Linked DNA regions of Drosophila melanogaster. The protein of the gene in region 2 purifies or fractionates together with the protein of the main gene of each other region. This does not show direct contact. Each region holds a gene or a part of one and is shown on either strand. Other genes may lie near its edges. The genes, in order: Brf, Sgf11 and Atxn7.

Region 1 (7,918 bases), on a different chromosome or scaffold from region 2:
GGTGAAGTTGACGGCAAAAAACGCCTGCCTACTTCTCAGTCAATCGCGTCTGTTCGAGGAGCCCGAGCTGATGCAACGTTGCTGGGAAGTGATCGACGCCCAGGCCGAGATGGCGGTTAAGTCCGAGGACTTTGTGGATATTGATCTCAAGACCTTTGAGTCAATTCTTTCGCGAGAGACACTCAACTGCAAGGAGATACACTTGTTCGAGGCGGCCCTTAACTGGGCAATGAACGCCTGCGAGAAGATGAGCATCGATGACACGCCGCAGAACAAGCGCCGGCTGCTGGGACAAGCGCTGCACCTCATCCGCATTCCCACAATGTCGCTGGAGGAGTTCGCTAACGGCGTGGCCCAGACAGGCATTCTTTCGTCGCAGGAGACGATCGACATGTTCCTGCACTTCACTGCCAAGATGAAGCCCTCCCTGGGCTTTCCCACACGCTCCAGGGCGGGATTAAAGACCCAGGTCTGCCATCGCTTCCAGTCGTGCGCCTATCGCTCGAACCAGTGGCGCTACCGCGGGCGCTGTGATTCAATTCAGTTTTCTGTTGATCGAAGGTAAGTTCTATCTAACAAATGGTTATTGGATTAAGGTAATTAAAACTGAAAATTTCAGAATTTTCATTGTGGGTTTTGGACTGTACGGCTCGTCGACTGGTGCTGCCAACTACAACGTAAAGATCGAACTTAAACGCCTGGGCCGCACGCTTGCAGAGAACGACACCAAGTTCTTCTCGGACGGATCAAGCAACACGTTCCACGTCTTCTTCGAGAATCCCATCCAGATCGAGCCCGAGTGTTATTATACCGCCTCCGTAATTCTCGATGGAAACGAGCTTAGCTTCTTTGGCCAGGAGGGCATGTCCGAGGTGCTAATGGGCAATGTGACATTCCAGTTCCAGTGCTCGTCGGAGAGCACCAACGGCACCGGAGTTCAGGGCGGCCAAATCCCAGAGTTAATCTTCTACGGACCCACCACAGTGACAGCAATGAGCTCGCCCACCAATTCACTGTGTCCCACGCCAATTGGTGGCAGTTCCTCCAATGCAGGAGCGACTTCAACCGCAGCAGCCGGAACAGCTGTTCCGAATAGCAGCAATGGATCTGGCAATAACGCCAACAGTTCTGGGGAGGATGGCGACGGAAGCACCTGATGCGCACAGCTCTATTGCGCCGAGTGGCAGGGAGCCTGTTACTACCGCCAACAGCAGCAGCAACAGAGGAGACCAACACAACAATACAAAACACAGCAACCGCAAAAGATACAGATACAAAATCGAAACTCATGGGTTTTCAGTGCAGCACAAGAAAGTAAATTGGAGTTTTAGGCTCATATATATATATATATATATATATATATACCAAGATAGTAGAGTACTCTAGTTTTCATAATAGTCCTATATATAAACATATATATACACGTCAAAGCATAGACACATATATATACACCTCGGCAGTGCGTTTTAAAACTCCAAGACGATTGTCAGTACGTGATCATCTCAAAAAAAAAAGTCAGCCGATGCAAGTCAATCGATATAGGAAATTTGCTATAATTGGAAAGTTTCCTTCGATATCCCAAGTATGTTAAGCAAGTGAAATCAATGGTTTTGCAGTTCTAAAACGCACTGCACATAGTCTGTTGGTAATGCATATAAAGATATTTTCAAAATCGAAAAAGTTGATCATATACACTCTTAACTTTATAGATAAAGATTAGTAGTTGACTCGAAAACTTAATACGTTCCACGACTTAAGAGGGCGGGATGGGGTCATATGGACGCTAATAGAGACGCATAGATACATGCAATAAGTGAAAATCGGGCAATCAGTCAAGCTAGCGTTAACCAATATTCTAAAGACAGTTAAAGGGAGAGTGGACAAAAGCTAATACGATATATACCAAACATATTTTTGCCAGCATATACCTAACATATACACACATCTGATCTGATAATGATAAACTATAGTCCTAAACACTTCGAGGGAGAATAGGCCATGTTAATAGTTGCATACGACGAATTTGAAACCCAAGTTAACCAGTTAACGAAATAGCAAACAAAAATGAAATCAAGGGATCTTGTACGAGATGCGCACAAAATCCCCCCTACATATATATTCAAATATTAATCTTGTAGTACGCATTATATCTATTTCGTAGTTGTTCCATTATATCTCTCATACATACACAATATGCCTTTCTACTGATACTAAGCCCCGTACTTCTCCTGTGCATTATTATAGCCTGCTGAGCGCAACAATCAGTTTTACGTTTGTATTTCGGATTTCTTTGGAAATTGTACTGATTTTTTGCTTTTGATAAGACAATTATGGTTTTTATATACATATATCTATATAAAATGTTATCCTGTATTGATTATGAATCTATTACCATTATGTACTTTAATCAAACAAAATACATTATTAGATTTTTGCGAATTTACTTTCTCAGAGTTGAAGATTTTGGATATTTTGACATCACGTAAGTAGTGCATAAAGAAAACAGGAACGAGTAGAGTATTGTTAAATACCTGATAAAAGGAAAGCAAGCAAATCTAACAAACCCAACAAAATATTTTTAAAAAAACAAAAATTAAGAGTGGAGCTATGGCTTGACTTGACTGTGGATTGGGATTTAGGTGTATAGTTTAGTATTCACAACGTTCACTCACCCAGAGAAGGTATGTTGATACAAAGGGCATGCGATAACTTTAAGTAGGTACGACCAAGCTCATAGGAACAGATTTGCTGTACGTCGCTGATGTCGATGAGGAGATCTGTGAAGATATGAGCAGTCAATAAGCTACTCTTTAGGCAAAATGAATGCACTACTCACGGGAGGTGCCCTCTGTCCTGCAGGTCATGTACACGCAAGCGGCGTAGATGTGGGTGCTCTTCCTACCGCGGGTCAGATGCCTACCCAATGCCATCTTGAAGAAATTCAGAGCAGTATCTGCATAGTGCTGGGATAGCTGCAGCTGCTGGCAGAGTAGTGTGATGTCCTTCTTGGCCTTTTTGATGGTCACCTCGCGGGATTCGGTGCCCGATCCCACCTGAAACTTGCCGTAGCCATAGTTGGTGGCACCGCCCGACGACTCGGCGGACACAAACTGGCCAATTGCGGCTGCTCCATGGCCAACTTCCTCGAACTGCACTTCGGAAACAATGAGGGAATCCTCCAATACCGAGCCGCAGTTCATGCAAACTACAGTGAATGGGTGAACGTCGTTAGTGTCATGGATATGGGTCCTTGGATGTCATTATACCTCGATCTCCGCGAGCATTGTCTTCCTCGATCTCGTTGGATCCGCAATTGCGACATTTTAGGCCCGTAGACATGATTGTTTGTTCTTTGCTTTAATAAACACTGCCACCTGCAACGCTTCGTTTTTATCCGTTGTTTTGACAGTTTAAACTACTTGTTTGCTGTCATTTGAAAGCCATTTTCGAGTCTTTTTTAAACAATTTGCAATTTGTTGCCAATTGAATCAACACGCTTGGAAAACATCTGATTGAACCCCGCCGGCGTTGCTTAACACTGATGATAGAAGAAGAAATGCTAGAGATGCGCATTTCTCAATCAAGAACGACATTGGCACAACTGCTTGAAAAACTTAAAAGAGATATTAAAATTGTAAAAATTACGTAAAGCTGGTTCCAAAAATTATGTTCTAGTTTATTTGGCAAATTATCAATCAATATTTGTTTTTCATTTACATTGGAATATATAATAATACAGGTTTAGCATCGTGTTCTTAGGTGCACATCTCTAGTAGAAATAGTGTTAAAGTGCCGGTAAGGTGACTAAGTATTTTGTTGACATATTGAACAAGTTGGACCAAAAGGAGTATACAGTCATCTTGGACTTAACTTATAAATATTAAGTAAATATTTTAATACATATTTATTTTAAATTTACATATTTATATTTACCGTGTGTTCTTGCTTTTGTAACAGTGTCAAGCTTTGACGTCATATTTAAAGAAAGTCACCCCACTTTGTTCCACCCTGAGCAGCGGAATAAACAACAAGTCAAGTCAGCGTTCAATTTTCGAAAGTCAACTTGAATTAAAAAAAAAGAAAAGCCGGTCAAAATATATCAGTCATGGGCGATGCTGATCGTGCGATGAACGAACCAGAAGCCGCGAAAACTGTGTCCGGAATCCAGGTGATTCCCGCCGAGGATGTGGCTTCCATTGAGGATATAATCACAATCGATCCGGACTGCTACGAGCTTGATCTGAATCATCGCCGGATCGAGAAGCTGGAGAACTTCGAGCCGCTGACTCGAATCGAGCGCCTGTTTCTGCGCTGGAATCTGATCAAGAAAATCGAGAACTTGTCCAGCCTGAAAACACTGATTGAGCTGGAGCTGTATGACAACCAGATCACCAAGATTGAGAATTTGGACGACTTGCCCCACCTGGAGGTGCTGGACATTAGCTTCAATCGTCTGACGAAGATAGAGAACCTTGACAAGCTGGTCAAGCTGGAGAAGGTCTACTTTGTGTCGAACCGGATAACCCAAATCGAGAACCTGGACATGCTCACCAATCTGACCATGCTAGAGCTGGGGGATAACAAACTGAAGAAGATCGAAAACATCGAAATGCTCGTGAATCTACGACAGCTCTTCCTGGGCAAAAATAAGATAGCAAAGATCGAGAACTTGGACACATTGGTCAATTTGGAGATACTCAGTCTACAGGCCAATCGCATTGTAAAAATCGAGAACCTTGAAAAGCTTGCCAACCTCCGCGAACTCTACGTTTCGGAAAACGGAGTGGAAACCATTGAAAACCTCTCGGAGAACACCAAATTGGAGACCCTCGACTTGGCCAAGAACCGGTTGAAGGGCATTGCCAATCTGGAAAAGCTGGAACTGCTCGAGGAGCTGTGGCTGAACCACAACGGAGTCGATGACTGGAAGGACATTGAGCTGTTGAAGGTGAACAAGGCGCTGCAGACCATCTACCTGGAGTACAATCCGCTGGCCAAGGATGTTCGCTACCGCTCCAAACTGCGCGACATACTGCCGCAGCTGCAGAAGATTGATGCCACCCTGTGCAAGGTGCCCGGTACCTAGATGGAACCACTGTAAACCCCTTGAAAGACTAATCCACGGCGTTGCGCCACTACATTTATATCGATTAACTTTGAAAAACTGCGTTTAAAATATACATACAAATTAACCACTAATGGTTCTATCTACGAATTGGTGGGTGCAGTGATTTAGTTTGCTTTCAGAAGAAGGTATATTTGGATAAGTTACTCAAAGCGTGAAGTTTACCTAATGAGTCAGATAAATTATCCATCTAGGCTACCGCCTAACATATAAAACTAAAAAGTATTTTATATATACACATAAATAATGTAAATTGAATCTAAAAAGATGAAAACATTTTAGTTAAACAATTCTGGTTTCTCTTAAACCAAAACAATACATTTCAGTATGTCAGAGTACATTCAACGGAATGTATTTTTATTTATATCAAAGTTATTGTTCTATCGATTGAAATCACAGAGCTCAACTGATAAGTGGCTTTCATAAAGGCCTTTGTCTTCATTCTTTCCCTTTGTGGCAGACATGTTGTGCAAATATGCTTATCATTTCATTTTTTGACAAAGTATATGAGGCGTCAGTTGGATTGCTTTTGGAGGAGTTCATCAATTCGAAACAGCGTAATAGTCAGAGGCGCTCACTTTATGAGGACCTCCATAGAAGTCCAGAACAAAGATATTGCTAATTTCCAGTTCGCAAAGGTAGAAATTGTGAGCTGTAAAAGAAACAACGTATTTATTATTAGTACATACATATCGAGCTCTTAATGAGGTTCGCTTTCACCAACCTTTTACCCAATTGATGGCAGCTGGATGACGCCTCACATAGGCATCCAGCGATGGCTGATAGCTTTTGTCGCTAGGATCCATCTTCAAATGAGCCAAAACATTCTTAATCCATTTTAAATAGGATTTAATTCATTTTTCATACCTTCTTCACCTGTCCACTGATCATGGAACGGGCACATGTAGGCTCCATGGGATCCTTTCCGCCCTCCTTGCATCTTAGGGTCTGCTCGTCACTGAACAGGAGTGTGACCTTGTTGTCCTTCTGCCAGTCGGGACCAGTGAAGTCCAAATCGGTTAGCAGGAATCGAATACGTCCAGTGGACCTGTTATTAGCATCGCTGTCGTCGATGGAGATAATGTTGACCATGGGATACCCCTTCACCCGTTCGTTGGTGGAGAGACTTCCCACAGCCGCCCAATTGGCGCGATGGACCAAATCTCTGGCGATCTTGGCGTGATTTAACTCTTGCTCTCGCTTATATTCTCTAATTATACGCTCATCTTTCCGGCGGGAGTAACCGGAAGAGGGGTCCAGGCTCACGAGGGCCAAAATCAGGGCGAATAGTAGGGAGTGAAAGGTTTTCATGGCTAGACTGCAAGTATAACGATGCGGTTCTGAAAGATCACTGAACACTGGACAGCTGACGGGTCAGCATTTATGGACAGGGAATTCGCAATGACTGGCTTATCTTCCGGTCATCGTAATCGCGTATAATCCGCACTTTTAGTACTCTCTCTGATTCACGATGTAGGCCGTAAACAAAGCGGACTACGGATAGCGTTGACCTTTTACGCCTCTTTCATTTTCTCTGTGCGCCGCATTCTGCCAGTAATGCCCATATATATATGTATTTATGCCTACCTGGAGGATCTGGACTAATGGCCCCTGTCGGTACTTCTGCTTTGCGATTTGTTTGTCAACTGACTGGGCTACTATTGCGCCTTTATTATCACCTGCTTCGAGTACAAAGAACCACAACCAGCTGTTTTCAGCAGGTACCTCGGATGCGGTGGGGTGTATGTGACGCATATGTTCGTGCATTTTTCTCAGTTCTTCTCAGTCTCTCAAAAATCCATTAGTGTCTTTTATTACAAGATGATTTTAAATGCGCCCCATTAACTGGTTATTTTGAGCACTTAGTCAGTAATGTATGCAGAAAGCAGCGATAAATTGTAAATAAAAACGAATATCTAATTAATTAAAGTTTGGACTTTAGGAATAAGAATAATGTGTGTGGTAAATTTTAACTTTCAAAGAAAACAGCTGCCGTAAAATTAAATCACCATTGAGATTAAATAGTTTGATGTAAAGGAAAATAAAATTTAAGAATTATTTTAACAAATTCCTTTTGGGTAAATTGGCAAGCCGAGTAAAAACGTAACACCAAACTAGTTAGCCATTCGTAGTCCGAGGGTACCAACCGAGCGATCATCCAATAACGGTGGCATACAGCATTGCCAGCTTGAATAAAGTAGACTGCTATAAAACTAGGCTCGTATAAGCAGATCTTGAGCAGAGATTGGTGTAGTTTAACATTTTGTTTTCTTTTATTTTGCAAATATGTAGGTATGCTTAAATATGATTTTTGTTTTTAGGAGTATCATTATGCTTGACTTAATCATCTTTACCATATAACTTGTACATTTCACTTTCATTTAACTTGACCTCAATTAACATTTATTGTTTCTATTTGCGATTGGCTCGAAATTTCGCCAAACTCTGGTTCTGAATATCCACCGTGTGTGTTGTGTTTTCATTATTCTAGTGTGCGATTATTAGTTTAACATTTATTTGTATTTCTGTTACATTTACGTTTTTTATTTTTGTATATTTTGTATATACTCATTTTTCTCATATTATTAGACAATTTGTGTTGTAATTTAATTACGTTTGCCAGATTAGTTTACCCTGCCGCATACAGTTTGTTTGAAAAATATATGTACATATCTCATGGAGTCCTGAAATCAATATGTACGCGTAGATCTCGAGTGTTTTCTCAAAAAATAGATGTGTAAAAGTTGATCGTACGTGTATAGTGTAAATATGTTTGTATGGATGTAAAACATT
Region 2 (7,379 bases):
CAGTAGGGTTCAGTCCGCACTCACCACCCGCAAGGTCACCGGCTCCATGGCCGGCGTGGTCAAGGCCATGGATGCAGCTATGAAGGGTATGAACCTGGAGAAGATTTCCTCCCTGATGGAGAAGTTTGAATCGCAGTTCGAAGACCTGGACGTCCAGAGCTCGGTAATGGAGGGCACCATGTCCGACACGGTAACCACCTCGGTGCCTCAGGGAGATGTCGACAATCTGCTCCAGCAAGTGGCCGACGAGGCTGGCCTCGAACTCAACATGGAGCTGCCCAGCGGAGTTCAGAGCCAATCCGTTGGAGCCTCGACAGCAGTGTCCCAAGAGCAAGACGAGCTCACCCAGCGACTGGCACGTCTCCGCCAGGCTGAATAAAAATAGCGACGCCCTGCCCGTTGAATTTCTGTTTTAGCAATTAAGTACATTCAAAATATAAATAAGTATAAACTCAGTGATTGGAAGTCTATCGATGCTGCTTTGTCTACCATAATCAGAAGAATTGCCATGAATCTTTAAGTGTAAGTGTGCTGTTTGTATAGGCTTCAAACGGATTATGATTTACATGCTTTTCTAATGCAATATACGATAATCATGTTTTAAAGGCTTTGTTGTTATAGTTATTTGAAGACCTGCCAATTTTTGTAACTTGTTTACTTGGAAAGATATAGCATAATTTGGAAATAGAAATGGTTCTGCAGCAATCACAACTTTCATTGCTTTGGTTACTATAATTCATTTCTGGTCTTAGCTTTTATTTGTCTTAATATTATATTTAAAAGTATACAAGCCCTTTATCTTAAAACTAGAACACGCCAAGCAATCGCTATGACTCAGGTCAACAGTGGAGGTTGAGGTTGTTGATGCGGTGGTGCAATGACTGGATTGGGATTGATGGGTGCCTGTTTGGCTTTTTGCTTTCGGGGTTTCCGGGCAGCTGGAGTATTGGGTCCAGGCTCAGACCCGGGTGCTCCTGTTTCATCCGCCGCCTGCTTGTTTTTGGGCTTCGGTCCTCGACGCTTCTGCTCGGTTTTCCCTTTGGGATGTGGAGCCTCCATGGGAACGGATCGCCAGTCGTCTCCGTGCTTATCTAGTCGCCGTTTTAGAAGCTCCACGTCATGATTGCGCCTTCTTACTATCTTTTTGATCCCATTTACTCTGGATAAAAGGTACTGCACATTTTTGTTTACGTTTCGTGGAGCATAAAAATGACGGTTACCTCATCACACATCGCTCATTTTCCGCCTGAATCCTTTGGCACCTGTCATACAGTTTTTCCACCAGCTGTTTGTACATGAGTTCTTTCTTATTTAGCAACATTTTATACAGATATTGGTTATAGTTCAATATTTAGAAATGTTTTTATTTACGCCATGGCTCAGTGTGGCCAGATGGGCGATTTTCTTCTTGCTCCGTCTGTCGGTACAGGCGTTGCCACGTCATATTTATTCAAAAAAGGACTAGTTCACTTATTGAACTAAATTTAGCAAAAGTGCATAAAAACTGCTTGACATAATTGTCTTTAATTTAAGATTTAACTGGTCATAATAATTACTTTACATACTCGTTTTATGAAATGACAAAACCTGATGCATTTAAAATTATAAGTTAATGAAAATATAAACTATTTAAATTGGTTAATAATATAAATTTTATAATTTGCTATAACGGTTAAAGCTGTTACTTTTAGATGCAACTATTTAAATTGAATATCTAGTTCCTTAAAACTATTTACCCCTATTTGCACCAGCCTGGCAACTCTCTCATTTTGCAAACAGCCGTGTTAAGCAAACCCACAATTAGTAACTTATGTAGTTCCACAACAACAACCGGCATGCCAAACAAATCTTCCAGAGCAGACAGGAAGACAGCCAGAAGCAAATAGATATAGTGTTTGCGCCAACTATTATGTCTGCAGCCAACATGCCGACGACAACAGGAGCTCAGGGATCGGGAAACCAAGTTCCCACAACTAGCACTACGATTGTAAACCACTTCCGGGAGTTGATCAAGGAACCGAAGAACCTCGACGAGGCGGCCAACTATCTGTACCAGTCGCTGCTCGACGACGCCGTAGTCGGAATCTTTAACGAGACACATCATCTGCGAAAGTCAGGGAATCTGGCCGCCCTGGACGGAGTGCCGGAGGACTCAACCTATCGAATGTGCGAGATGCCCAACCTGGACATATTCGGCATCTCAACGGCCAAAAAGCCAATGGACTGCACCTGCCCCAACTGTGATCGCCTGGTGGCCGCCGCCCGCTTCGCCCCGCACCTGGAAAAGTGCATGGGCATGGGTCGTATCTCGTCGCGAATTGCCTCTCGTCGCTTGGCCACCAAAGAGGGCGCCACATCCGCCCACCTGCACTCTTCGGGAAATACCGGAGGCACTGATGATGAGGATGACGTGGACTGGTCGTCCGACAAGCGTCGAAAGAAATCAAACCAGAACTCAAGGAACAACGGCTCCAAGAAGAACAATGGCAAAACCTTTTAGTCAGAGCTAACAATCATTTTCGTAGTTTATTCTGCCATAAAAGTACACCTTTAAATCAGTCACCAATGTATTCTAAACTAATGGGATTTTGGTGATCGACCCCTACTCTTCTTTGAGATCATTTGAATAGGACAGCAGTTAGTGGCAATATCTAATCAATTAATATCTAGATATCATAGGACAAGGGTAATATAACTTTTCAGCAAATAGGCGCTTTTAAACATAGACTTTCCTGGTGCTAAATGAAGTAATTCAATGTAATAATATGAAAGCAAGCCTTAGTTTTATATTTTACAACTTAAAGAGTATATATTTTGGTTATTTTCCTTCCTTATCAATGGCAAACACCCGGATATGGTCGACCACTAGGGGTGTCCAGTCCGAATTTCTAGACAACTCCTCGAATTGTTTGTCAGTTTTGGGGTGGGTGTTTAAAAAGGGCTTGTGTTTCATTTCTAGAATGTCGTCATTGAAATTAACATTGCCGCCGGCGGTTAGGCCAAGGACTAGATGGCACTAAAAACGAAAGATCATAGAGATATTACATCTTTTAGAGGAAGGCGTCTTACCTCATGTTTTCGAAATGGTTCAAGAAGTGTCGGATTGTTTACTGCTCCGAAGAACTCGCCATCGAACTTAAAGATAATTTTGTCAGTCTGCCAGATAATAGTCGTGAAATCCGTCCCCATAGTAAATTTCCCCTGGCGTACAAGCGAATATGATCGAAAAAATCGTCATCCGCCTTATCCATACGGGGCACCAGAAGAATGTCTAAAGTAATCAAAACCATGTAGTGATTACCAGCTATAAAAACTAAATATCCACTCACTTGGAAACAACCAATCGCCTTTGGGCATTTTAGCTCTAATCTCAACTCGCCCATATTTAAAGGTAAAGTTCGTGTGCATGTTGGCGGATCTAAAGGTCTTGGAGACCCAAGGCTCCCGTTTCGATCTTGACCCCCTGTCACACTCTTTTCGTTTGGCTATTTGCTGGTGCAGCCCAGAAGAGTCATATTTCGCTCATCTCTGGTAATTGATATGTGCAAATTGTTGTTGGTTATAATCGAGTTGACAGGATCGTCCACAAAGGCAAAAAACTCCTGGTTTTTCCCGCCAGTATTACGATACCTAACCTCGCGTACCCAATTCAATGGGAACATTCTGATAACGTTTCTGAAGAACTCAGGTTAATCTAGGCCCATCAAATAATTCGCCAATTCCATTATCGTTGATTTTAATCTCGAAAAACTGAGTTGCAATCTTATTATTTCTCTCCACCACAGTTTGAATTCTTATTTTGGCATTGGGCTCAATGTTACTTTGTAACTCAATCTTTGCACCAATATGCTTCGTTATCGCACCCTTTGTCAACCAACTCGGCTTGAAAGTATATGGACTCAATCTCTTCCAGATCCCCGGGTAACACTATGAATACCTCCCTGCCCTTCACATTTACCACTGGATGCGGCCCCTCCAAGGCAATCATCAAAGAAACAAGACAACCTAACAAAATTAGAAAAACACAGCCTTTCCGCATGGCGGCTACCAGAGAATCCAGTCTTGCAATCATTGTGTTAACATGTGGGTTACTGCATTCCCTAGCATATAAGCTCTCAATCTTTAGCTGTTCTCTTGTAAAAATATGATAGATATGATCACATTGGTTTCCAATAATTAGGTCAGATATAGTATTTTATTCAATGAAATCATAGATTCACTTTTTTCATAGTTCACAGTTTCATTAGACCAAATATTTAATTAAGTGTTGTAGCTTAATGAGATCACGCGAGTCATATTCATTCCTCGTATTCATCGATTGAATAAACATTAAATTGTTGTATGACCAACACAGCTTGATCCCAAATGGGTGCATTGGTTACGGCCTTTATAATTTTCGATGATAGACCCGTTTCGAAATTGCGATAGCTCTTTTGCTCTGGCGGAATGCTGTTATCCGGAAAATTGTACTCTCCGCCGACAGTTAGGAACAATTCAATGTGGCGCTGAGGAGTTGGAATTTTAGTGCAAAAAAATTAGTATTATTAAGTAAACCAACTTCTGTCTGACTGAGTTCTTGGACGATCGTTGAGTTCGTTATTTGAGCAAAGGTGCGACCATCTATCTTAAAGGTTATGCTCTCCTCCGTCCCAATAGACGTGTAAGTATAAAAGTCATTCCCATAGTGATCATCCCTACTGGCGAACTCCTCCAATTCCACCGAGCTCGTTGGACAATGGCAATTCGAATGGCATCGTGATTAACTGAAGACAGTGTGAGTCCTAAATGAAGGATTGCATTCGATTATCCTTGTTACTAATCATTAAGTTCGAAATCACCTGGGAACAAACAGTCTCCAATGGCCATCTTGGTTTCTATGTCTATCCGACAGTACCTAAAGGTATCCAATGAGAGTAATTTTGCCGAATCAAAGGGAGGCATACATTTTCGAAACGGCAATCTGTACTTCTTCTCGCCACATCTTTGATTGGAATCGCTTTTCGAATAAGCGCAGTTCTCCAAATAGAAGGGGTTTTTCGACCCATAGTTAGATTTAGTTACATACGAATTGGCTTTTCAATTCACAAGGGCCACTCCCTTCCTGTGATTGCACCACGTGCTTCCAATTTTTCAAAGGATTTTCACTATCTCCAAAGGACTCGGTGACAATAGCCTACCGCTGCAGCTTGCAGCTGATGGGTTTGTCTCTAGTGAGGGAAATCGCGGGCAGGCAGTATTTCGTAGAGCTACGTAGCTTCTTACAATCTCTACTTTTCTCGGATGATGGTAGGAATTTCCGCAGAGGCTCTACCAAAGCACTGCTTTCTCCCAAGGATCTGATCCTGAAGCTTTTGATCACAGTTTCGTTTTGATGGGTCTCTACGACGGCGGATATTTTGAGGGTACCACTGCCCAGGTATTCCCGTATAGCCTATAGTCATAGAAGGGACACTTGTCCCCTTCGAACTCAGTGTAAAAGAGCACCGACCTAATACGATGATCTTCTATTTTACTTATTAATAGATTGTAGGCAGCAAAATGTGTGGCCATCTTACCTGGAAGCGATGCCCAGATCCATGTATCGTTTTCAGTGACATTCACCAAAAGCTGAAGAGCCTGAAAGGAATCAAAGCCGACCAACTGGCTTAGTATTAATGCCCAGACTCATCTCCATTCTGTCAGATAAGCAACCATACTGAAGCATTTGATTTCACTGAGTTTCTCTTAGGACTTTATTTATTTATAGATTTATAGATTTCGATCGGCACGTTCACTTATGTGTAATTTTATAAACATCTACCTAAATCATGGATTTTAGTTATCAGTTGGCGAAGACACGAACATAATCGATCTTCAAGGCCGGCTGTTTCCATGTGGGTAGCCACTGGTCTTGGGCCTGGTGGAACTGCAGCTTCGCCTGGGGATGATAGTTGGCCCAAGGCTTCTCATAAGTGGCGGTGCGAAGATGGTCCACAAAGTCACCAAATCCGCCCACAGAGACGCCCAACGAAATGTAAAACTGAAATGGGAGATAAATTTGAATTAAACTTGTTAAATTTAGATCACTAGGCTTACCATTTTATCGAACGGGGCCATGGGACCGCCCTGCTTCCACCTGGGATTCTCGTCCAGTTCAGTGAAACCATTCAGCATCTCTCCATAGACCTGACCATCTACGGAGAAGAGCAGCCTATTGCTGCTCCAATCCAAGCTGTAGGTGTGAAAGTCATCGCCGAAATGGGATATCTTTCGCTTGCTCAGCCATAAGTCCTCCCTTTGGTGGGCATCCGTGGAGAGTACGGGTCCTCCGTATAGGGATCTACCATCTACAAGCTTTCCGCGCGGCATCCTCAGCACGGAGTTACCCCTGGCCAAGGCCACTCGCAGCTGGCCGGATTCGTAGCCCGATTGCCCGTACCATTCGGTGAGGGGTTCGAGTAGTAGGAGTGGTACCTTATGAAGAGTGGGAAATATTAATTTCAAAGCTAAGACGTTGTAGTTGCATAATCTCACTTACTATCCAATCTCCCTTTGGTAGCTTGGCACGGATCTCAATGCGTCCGTATTGAAAGGCAAAGGTTTCCTTGGTGCTGATTCGAGGTGTTACAATTGGGGGCATTATCCCACTGGGTCCACTGCCCGTGGAATGCAGGATGCATTCCTTAATTCTGTTATGGGTTCCAGTACAACGCTCCGATAGATCGAGCCTGGAGTTGGCTATGGAGAGATCCGGGCGATAGCTGGACCAAAGAAGCGGCTCAATCACCAGGTTGCCATCGTGAACTTTGGCCTTCCCGTCGTACAAGACGAACTCTGCATCCTTGGAGTCGAGGGGCAGGCGAACATCATGTATCCACAGAGATTCATTCAGCTGATCAAAAGTCTCCTCAAACAAAAGTTGTCCCTTACATATGGAAACACCGATTTGCGGCGAAACCTGGCTTTCAGAAGGTTCACAGACGGAGGGAGCGGTGGGTTCCAAAGCACTGTCCTCAGTACTTAGCTGGTTGTCATCCGTAAAGTCATCATCACCGGGCGAACATCCCCTGGGCCGATACTCTCCGCCGAGATTGCAGACTGGCAGGGGCTGCGCCAGATCTTGATACACAGCCTTTTGGTGCTGCACACTTGTCCAAAGGTATAGAACATCTTGGGATCTCAAGGGAACCGAACTGAAGTTGGTCGTCCACCTGCCGTTCTGGGGTTCAGTCAATCTCACATTGTACTGTCCCTCGTTTATGAAGGATGTGAAATTCCGATTGCGATTTACATTAAAGGCCACCACTTTTACGCCCTCTTCATCTAAAAAGAAAAACAAAATCGGATAAATTAGCAAGTTCATTTGCTAATTTGTAGCTGATTATAACTATAAACTGTCA
Region 3 (7,918 bases), on a different chromosome or scaffold from region 2:
TGGCTGGCTGGCGGCCTTGGCCTCCAGCTTAACAGTCTTTACGGTGTCGCTAACAGTCTCCAGTTTACTGAACTCAAAGTCGGCCAGTTCATCCGCCAGTTGGTTTGCCTCCGTTCCAGAACTCAAGTTGGTTTGTATGCCGCCCGATTGCACGACATTCACGTCCACATTTTCGTAGCCCGCGTTGGTTAGGAATTCGGCTAAGACCTTCTGCTCCAGCATGGAAACGGGATTCGACTCGGTGATCTCGTATATAATACTGGGCAGGATCATGTGCTCCTCCAGCTGCTGTTGCTGTGGATTGACCATTGCCTCATCCGTCAGAGACGGCACGTTGTAGACGCTGAACTGGCGCTGCTGCTCGTGATCCTGAAGCTTCTGATCCTGCTGCTGCTGTTGCTGCTGCTCTTGCAGTTGCTGCTGCTCGAGCATCTGCTGCTGCTGGTAAATCAGTTGCTGCAACTGCATGGCATCGATGGTGGTCAGCTCCTGCTGATGCTCTTCCTCGCCATAAACCTGCTGAACCGCCTGCTGCTGGTACACGGCGTAATCCTCGCCAATGGTTCCGTCCTCAAAGCGCAGCCTTTTAGTGGCCTGTGCGGGATGCGATAGCGATCCATTCTGCGCTTGCTGTTGTGACTGCTGTTGCGATGTGTCCAGAGCGCTCTCATCGAAGTTATTCAGAATCTCGTTGATCAGCTTGCTGTCCAGCATTTCGTCGAGCGTCTGCGAAATGGAGTTCTCGTCGGAGGTGTTGGGCAAGGGCAGTTCCTCCTCATCGGGCGCCACCTGCTCGGCGGAAACCGCTCCCGTGATGGAAGACACTGCCTGGTCCAGTTCGCTGAGCACTTGCTGCTGCTCGTAGGAATTCACCAGAGACTTATCTTTGTTCTTCTCCTTTTCCGCTTTTATTCGATGATCGCTGGAGCCCTTCAACTGAAGAGGATTTCGGTAATTGTATCATTGAGTTATTATAGTCACAATTATATGAAATACCTTTTTCTTTGGCTGCAGCTCGGGCAGCTTTTCCGCATCCGTCTGAAGCTGGGCAGGTGAATAGTTGACCCCCATCGCCACCTCGCTGGAGGCCGCTCCCAACGTGGGAGTGGGCGGTAAGCTGCAGGATGAGTTGCTGGAGGAGGAGAACATGGTTATGGCAGCCGGAGCAGCACCCACAGATGGTGGCTCCTCCTTAACAACAGCAGCGACGACGGGAGGAGCGGCTATGGCCGAACTCTTCTTCGATCCCTTTGACTCCTTGTGATTGGACTCCAGCAGGGCCGGAGCTGGCGAGGAGTGGTGGCGGTTCTTTGACGACTTCGAACGCGACCTACTTCCGGCGGAAGTGCTGCTGCTGCCCTTAGACGAGGAGGAACTGCTACTTTTACTGCTGCTGCTCTTGTGACGCGACGAAGACGAAGACGACGTGGTGCTGGATGAACCCGCAGCAGCCGGATGCTGCAGTGAAGCCGAGCTGCTGGACCCGTTCGAGCAACTGGAGAGCGTCGAGGCCGAAAGCGTATCCGTGGGCGAACTTGGCACGATAGCCCCGCCCTCCTGACTGATTTCCGTGGCAGTGAGACGAGAGTCGCTGGATATGGCTGTCCCATTTGGATTGGGATTCACTTTGCTGGATGTGGCCTCCCAGACGCTAGGATGCTGCAGCGCAATGTGGTGCTGGAAACCTGCCTTCGTGTAACATCCCGAGCAGGAACTACAGAGTACTATATCGCGACTGGCCAGCTTCGGCGCCAGATCGTAGTAGGCCATGTCCGCCGATTGCAGACGCTGGACCTGCACCTTCGCCTGTTGATCTGCGCCGGCGGAGGAGTTCTTTCCACCACGCAGATACGTCTTCTCAGCCGTTCGCAGTTGCTTGATGACCTTTTCCATGTCGAAGACCTGCTGCCACTTTTGGCCCTGCAGGCTAAACAGGGATAGTCCCGCCGATCCCGAGCCGGAATTGGAGCCGGCCGACGAGTCCGGCTTCCACATTCCCGACACCTTGTGCTTGGTTCCATTTTCCGGATAAGCTCCACCACCGGCGGGGGCCACATCGTTCAGGGGCATTCCGGATAGAAGCTGTGCTCGCGGGATCCGGGGATTCGGTACACTCGAGCAAAATTGCCCCTTAAAGCACCTGCAAAACAGGATTGATTTATTAGTTCCAGAGAAACTTTGATAGTGACAGCTTTTAACTGATACTGCAATTCATCGCTGATAAAAAACACAAAATCTGGGGCTATGCACCATGAACCCCGGACCACGGAATCCCTACGAAATGCCCATGTTAAAATCATCACTAGTTTTCATACAATAAATTCGTATATTCTATTACATATACATATGTACGTGGTTTGAATCACCACCAGGCGTGTTTAACCCTAAAACTCAAATTTAATCTTATAAGTATATCTCAAGAAGATTACAACTTTATTAGATTTAGATTTAAGGTAAATTAAAACAAGAATAATCATTTAGAATTAATTATTTATTTTTTCTTTATTTTTTTATATTATAATTAAAATTTTTTGGTGCACGTTAGGATTAACATAAACAGAACCATCGTTATAATTAAATGAATAGATATCAGCAGAACCCACTTATACATATACAACATATCCATTGACCACAGGACCCTGACCCTGAATACATACATACATACATATATAGATTTTATTAGCAACGGAAAAGTATTGGACACTGCACAAACCACTTGTGGAGGGTGTGAAGACTGTACGTCTTGGAGTATTTCTATGCGTATATTGCCATTTTTGAATGAATCTCGAAATTTAACAAACTGTTGTTTTTGATATCGTAAATTTTCAGCGAAAGCTTACAGGTGAGTGCTGCCCCCGCCCCCGCGAGCGCCAACCCCTCGGTACCCGCACCCCTTGGTCTGGATCAGCTGTTTTTGACAACCGCTACTCGAGTGGCGCCGTCTCGCTCGCACTGCCGCACACATGCGCAGCCACTCACACCGACGCACAGCACACTCACGCACTTACCCACACCAATGCAACACAAACAAAGCACACGATTGAAAATCACAAAATAAAAATCACTTAAAATGCTCGCAGGCAATTTTAGTCGAATGCCGAATGATATCGGCATTAAATGACACTTACGTCGTTAACACACTTCCATGTTTTGTTGTTTTTTTTGTGGGTTTAGGTTACCGTTCTACCCTACCCGTGGATAAATCGGATTTTTGGCCGGCCTCCGTGGAGGAAAATGCCAGGTCAACTCGAAAAAGACGAGTTGGTTGTATAGCCTAATTGATTCTGTAACGAAATCAATTAAAGCTTTCTAGTTTGTCTCGCTTTTTCGAGTTTAAAGATTGATATTATGAATATCGTTGTATTTGCTTAGGGATGGCAATTCGCGTCTCGTTACGTTACGTTGTATTTGTTGCAGCTGCAGATTAAGTGCGATATGTTATCGATAGTCGCACAGGTATTCGTTGCATACGTAGCCGATATATTAATTACATGCATTTCCGCTGAAAAGTCAGTTGAATATATTTATGAATTAAAATCTTTTTAAAGGCGATAGAAAACTATACTTAACATTTCCTATTTTTACAAGCGTTTATTTGCTGGCACAAACTATAACCATAATTAAACGTAACATTAGTCATCTTCATCACTAAGCTCATCCTCCTCCTTTCTTCTGGACTTTTGCTCCAGTTCCTTGGCGTAGAGATCCTTGAAGGCTTCGTATTCCGGCAGGGTGACGTGGCAAATCTTTGTGGCGAAACTCTTCTCGGAAGTGTCTGTAATCTGATAGAGTTTGGGGTTCGTAGTCGGCTCATTTGGATCGGCTTTCGGAGGTCGTGGCTTAAAGAGGCCCAAACGAAGCAGGAACTGGTGGCGACAACGCAGCTCCTCGAATGACAAGGTAAGGGCTGCCGATTTAACCAACTCCGGCACTTCTATGCGCATCACGTCTGTGATGAAGTTCAGTTTCTCCTCAATAGATACCTCGGATTGTGCTATCAAATCCGGACTGTTCATCAAACACTTCCACACATTTTTGCTGGTGGAGACGCGACTTTGAAGGAAGCCGATGTGGGAAAGTAACTGGTGGGAGTCGCTAACGTCCAGTAACTCGGGGTACTTCGTAAGGAGCAGGTGCAGTAGATTCTCGCCGAATTGACAGGCCCTCCAGATTTCCAGGCAGCTTATTATTTTGTCCGGCGTTCTTTTCAAAATCGCGGGGTTACCGGTAACTATTCTAAGGAAATTCACGGTTTCCAAGCCGTGGTTTTGAAAAGTTTGATGGGCCCTTCGCCAGATTTCAGGTGAGAATACAGCTAACGTGGGTTCTATTTTGATGGCTTCATCGATGTGAATTTGTTCAAGCTGCAATATCTTGGGCGTTGCCAAGTGCCTTATGTGATGTAACTGGAAAGTAACAATTTGTATCTAATTTCTATCTAATGCATTCATGATTAACTCACGTTTGACTGTTGTTTTAATACAGCTTGTGTGTTAAATAATAGTTTCCGCAACATTTTTGGCGATGTCCTCTTAAATCGGCGAGCAAAACAATGAACAGCTGATCTCTTCTTCTTTGCAATGACAGTTACCGAGAAGCGTGAACAACGGCATGTTTAGCTGGTACACCCACCATATTCGTCTATAGCTTAATTGTCTATTAAATCGCACGCATCGAACTGTTATTCTCGTCGGGTGCACAGCAAATTGTTTATAAATAGAACTGTCGCGCATAAAAAACAACAGTGGAAAGTTTTATCGTTTAGTTCTGCTACAAGCTCAGCGTAAGTTTTTTTTCTTTATTTTGTACATATGTGTGTATACATGTGTGTGAGAGTTCAACTATAGCATAATTATAATCAAACTCTGAAAGAGATATAGCTTAATGTTATAAACTAAGTACTACCCGGCTTATTTAACCAAAGAATTCAAATTATTTGTCGCCATTTGGAACCGTACAAGTAAATACATACATATGTATGTAGAAAACGACATGTAAACTGATCGATACACTGATAAAAATTTATATTCAAGTGAAAAAGCTTAAATCAAATTTATAAATGGATGTGAAATGTATTTTTATATTTCTTTTAAATATACATAAATCCATACACAAAAACCCAACTAATAAATTGTTGATATTGAAAAGGAAATCATCCAGAAATTAATCAAGAGAATTAAAATGTTATTTTTGTAATAATCTTAAAAGCTCTGTGTATCAGAGCGAACGTGACAAGTGTTTTTACTTAATGAGGAAACTATTGGCCAGGAGAGGAGGGCTCGTTCGATCAGTGATAACTTTGAATTCCCGTACAGGTGGCATCCAGAATAACTCAAGTAATGCTCAAACAAGGTCAAACTCAATAACATTGTGAAATAGCACAACTACTTCTGGTCGATTTTCATTCAAACAATTGGAATGGGATAAACTGCCGGTGGGGAGTGAGATAAAGCGTTCAATTCTCTCGCATTATTTCTGATAAGGAGGGCTCTCTGTGGATTCCACCCATATTTAACTAACAATCCACTCGGCTTGCCACTCATTCGCAGCCCGCTCCACAATCCAGCAACATGTCGAAACTCATCCGTTGGGGAATCGCTTCCGCCGGCAAGATCAGCGAGGACTTTGTCATCGCCCTCAGCACCCTGCCCTCCAGCGACCACAAGGTCCAGGCTGTAGCCGCCCGAGCTCTTGATCGCGCCCAGGAGTTCGCCACCAAGCACGGCATTCCCAAGGCCCTCGGAAGCTACGAGGAGCTGGCCAAGAGCACCGATGTCGGTGAGTAGAACTTAAAGTTCATAAACAAACTGTTCAAAAAAATCTTTAAAAAATGTAATTATCCCCAGATGTGGTCTACATTGGCACCCTGAATCCCCAGCACTACGAGGTCGCCTTGCTGATGCTGAACAATGGCAAGCATGTTCTCTGCGAGAAGCCGTTGGCCATGAACAAGAAGCAGGTGGAGGGCATCCTGGCCGCTGCCAAGGCCAACAAGCGCTTCTTCATGGAGGCCGTGTGGTCGCGATTCTTCCCCTCGTACCAGCGCGTTAAGGAGCTCATCTCCAGCGGACAGCTGGGCCAAGTCAAGGATGTGGAGGTCAACTTTGGCTTCCCTATGCCTCATGTCGACCGCTTGCAGTGAGTACACAGATCGTTCATAGAATAACAATTACTAATAGATCACATCACTTAAAGGAAACGCGAACTGGGAGGCGGTGTGGTCTACGATCTGGGCATTTACACCATCCAGGTCTCGCAGTGGGCCTTCCAGGAGAAACCGGAGAAGATCGAGTCCAAGGGAACCCTGAACGCCGAGGGCATCGACGATGATGTTAGTGCCACCTTGACCTACAGTGGTGGGCGCACTGCTCGCATGCGCTTCTCCTCCAAGGAGAAGTTGGGAAACACCGCCGTTATCAAGGGCACCAAAGGACAAGTTACCGTACGTAATCTAATCGATCGTGATTGAAGAGTAGCTAATAGTCTAGTCTTATCTACCAGCTGATTGACTTCTGGTCGCCCAACAAGCTCATCGACATCGATGGCCAGGAGAAGGAGTGGCTGCCTCCCAAGGGCAAGTACGCGACCAACTACGCCAACTCCGAGGCCATGCGCTATGAGGCGGAGGCAGTGCGCCAGTCCATCATCGCCGGCGAAGTGGAGAACAAGAACGTCACCTACGCCGACAGTTTGATCTTCGCCGAGATCGAGGACACCATCCGCAAGCAGATCGGTGTGCTGAACAAGTACGATGAGCAGTAAATATAGATTATATAGATAAACGTGTAAACCTAACATAATAAACAGAACTTTTTACAAAAAATATATATTTCAAATAATTATTTTAAACGAAAGCAATACATTTTAAAGTCCTTAGCAAAAGTTGGACTTACTAAAAGTTGGACCCCCTGTTGTATTTTTTCAATGCCCCACTCTAGATCAAGGATTAGCAAACAGTGCGATAAGGGGAGCTATTGATTGTGGAACGGCAGCGATGACATTCCCACTAGGTCGAACTGGGGTGTTACTAAAGTGCCTGACTTGGCAGAATTCCCGATCACGTTTCTGCCGCATGATACCGTCTTTTAATTTAGGGGCTGGTAAAAAAAAGCGCAGGGATTCCTTATCTCAGGGTTCTCTAAAGTCTACCCACATATCTCTAATATAGATTATACCACCAAGTCTGTTCTAATTTATATTACTTTTTTAAAAATTCTTAATATTCCTATGCTAATTTTTGAAAACCATCTATAAGCTTTTTAGCTCTCATTATTATCTAATATTTGAATGTTTTGTACCCCAACTGTACTTTTCACAAGTTTAATAGTCATTTTGTAGATAACAGTCAAAAAAGGGGGCTCGTCTTTGTTCTGAGAGATAAGATAAGTGCAATTGCGTAGAATAGTTCTATAGTACTTCATAGCAAGGGTTCTTTAGAGATTCGAAAACCGTGTGATCAGTTTGGAAACACTACGGGCCTTAGCAATAGAAACAACCTATGGTTCGGAGTCATCAAAAAGGATAAGGAAAATGGATGGTACAAATTCGGAAAGGTCTACGTTCTATAGGATTTATAAGAAAACGAGAATCGTAGCCCGAAAATGCAACTATAGAGCGCCAGTGTGCGGAACTGGGTGGTTCCTTATCAACCGGAATGCAATGGAATACGAAAATTGCAATGAATGCAGATGCCAGGGACTGATAGGAGACCCTCGGGACTAGCACTCAGTATCATTATCATGGCGTCAGTAGCTGCCCGGACACGGGCCCGCGCGAGACTCGACTCGTCGAAAGCAGAACGGATACCCACATAGCATTCAGCACATCTGGAGTCGTAGCGTCGCAATGCAGAGCCAGGCGAATCTGAACTGGGGCATCGCGGCAGCGGGCAGGATAACGCAGGACTTTGTCACCGCCC

The links.
Region 1: the proteins of Sgf11 (region 2) and Brf purify together in Drosophila melanogaster (affinity purification with western blotting; one study listed by BioGRID). This does not show direct contact.
Region 3: the proteins of Sgf11 (region 2) and Atxn7 purify together in Drosophila melanogaster (affinity purification with western blotting; one study listed by BioGRID). This does not show direct contact.

Annotation. Positions count from the first base shown.
Region 1 is NT_033777.3:17,387,824-17,395,741, forward strand, and holds the start of Brf (Brf RNA polymerase III subunit), read right to left. Parts: upstream 3,515-7,918; 5' UTR 3,340-3,514; coding exon 3,267-3,339; intron 3,206-3,266; coding exon 2,837-3,205; intron 2,778-2,836; coding exon 2,673-2,777; intron 2,443-2,672; exon of another isoform or gene 1,332-2,442; coding exon of another isoform or gene 620-1,331; intron 562-619; coding exon of another isoform or gene 1-561. Other genes in the region: lute, read left to right, coding at 1-561, 620-1,157; sds22, read left to right, coding at 4,106-5,086; CREG (cellular repressor of E1A-stimulated genes), read right to left, coding at 5,668-5,777, 5,850-5,931, 5,993-6,436.
Region 2 is NT_037436.4:18,676,219-18,683,597, reverse strand, and holds Sgf11 (SAGA associated factor 11kDa), read left to right. Parts: upstream 1-1,761; 5' UTR 1,762-1,909; coding exon 1,910-2,500; 3' UTR 2,501-2,561; downstream 2,562-7,379. Other genes in the region: Chmp1 (charged multivesicular body protein 1), read left to right, coding at 1-379; CG32202 (uncharacterized protein), read right to left, coding at 835-1,159, 1,221-1,321; GNBP1 (Gram-negative bacteria binding protein 1), read right to left, coding at 5,822-6,019, 6,076-6,453, 6,518-7,302.
Region 3 is NT_033779.5:2,371,354-2,379,271, reverse strand, and holds the start of Atxn7 (ataxin 7), read right to left. Parts: upstream 3,432-7,918; 5' UTR 3,129-3,431; exon of another isoform or gene 3,009-3,128; intron 2,940-3,008; exon of another isoform or gene 2,600-2,939; intron 2,141-2,599; 5' UTR 2,071-2,140; coding exon 997-2,070; intron 937-996; coding exon 1-936. Other genes in the region: CG15390 (uncharacterized protein), read right to left, coding at 3,633-4,406, 4,463-4,516; CG3609 (uncharacterized protein), read left to right, coding at 5,571-5,778, 5,847-6,138, 6,196-6,442, 6,502-6,762; CG3597 (uncharacterized protein), read left to right, coding at 7,846-7,918.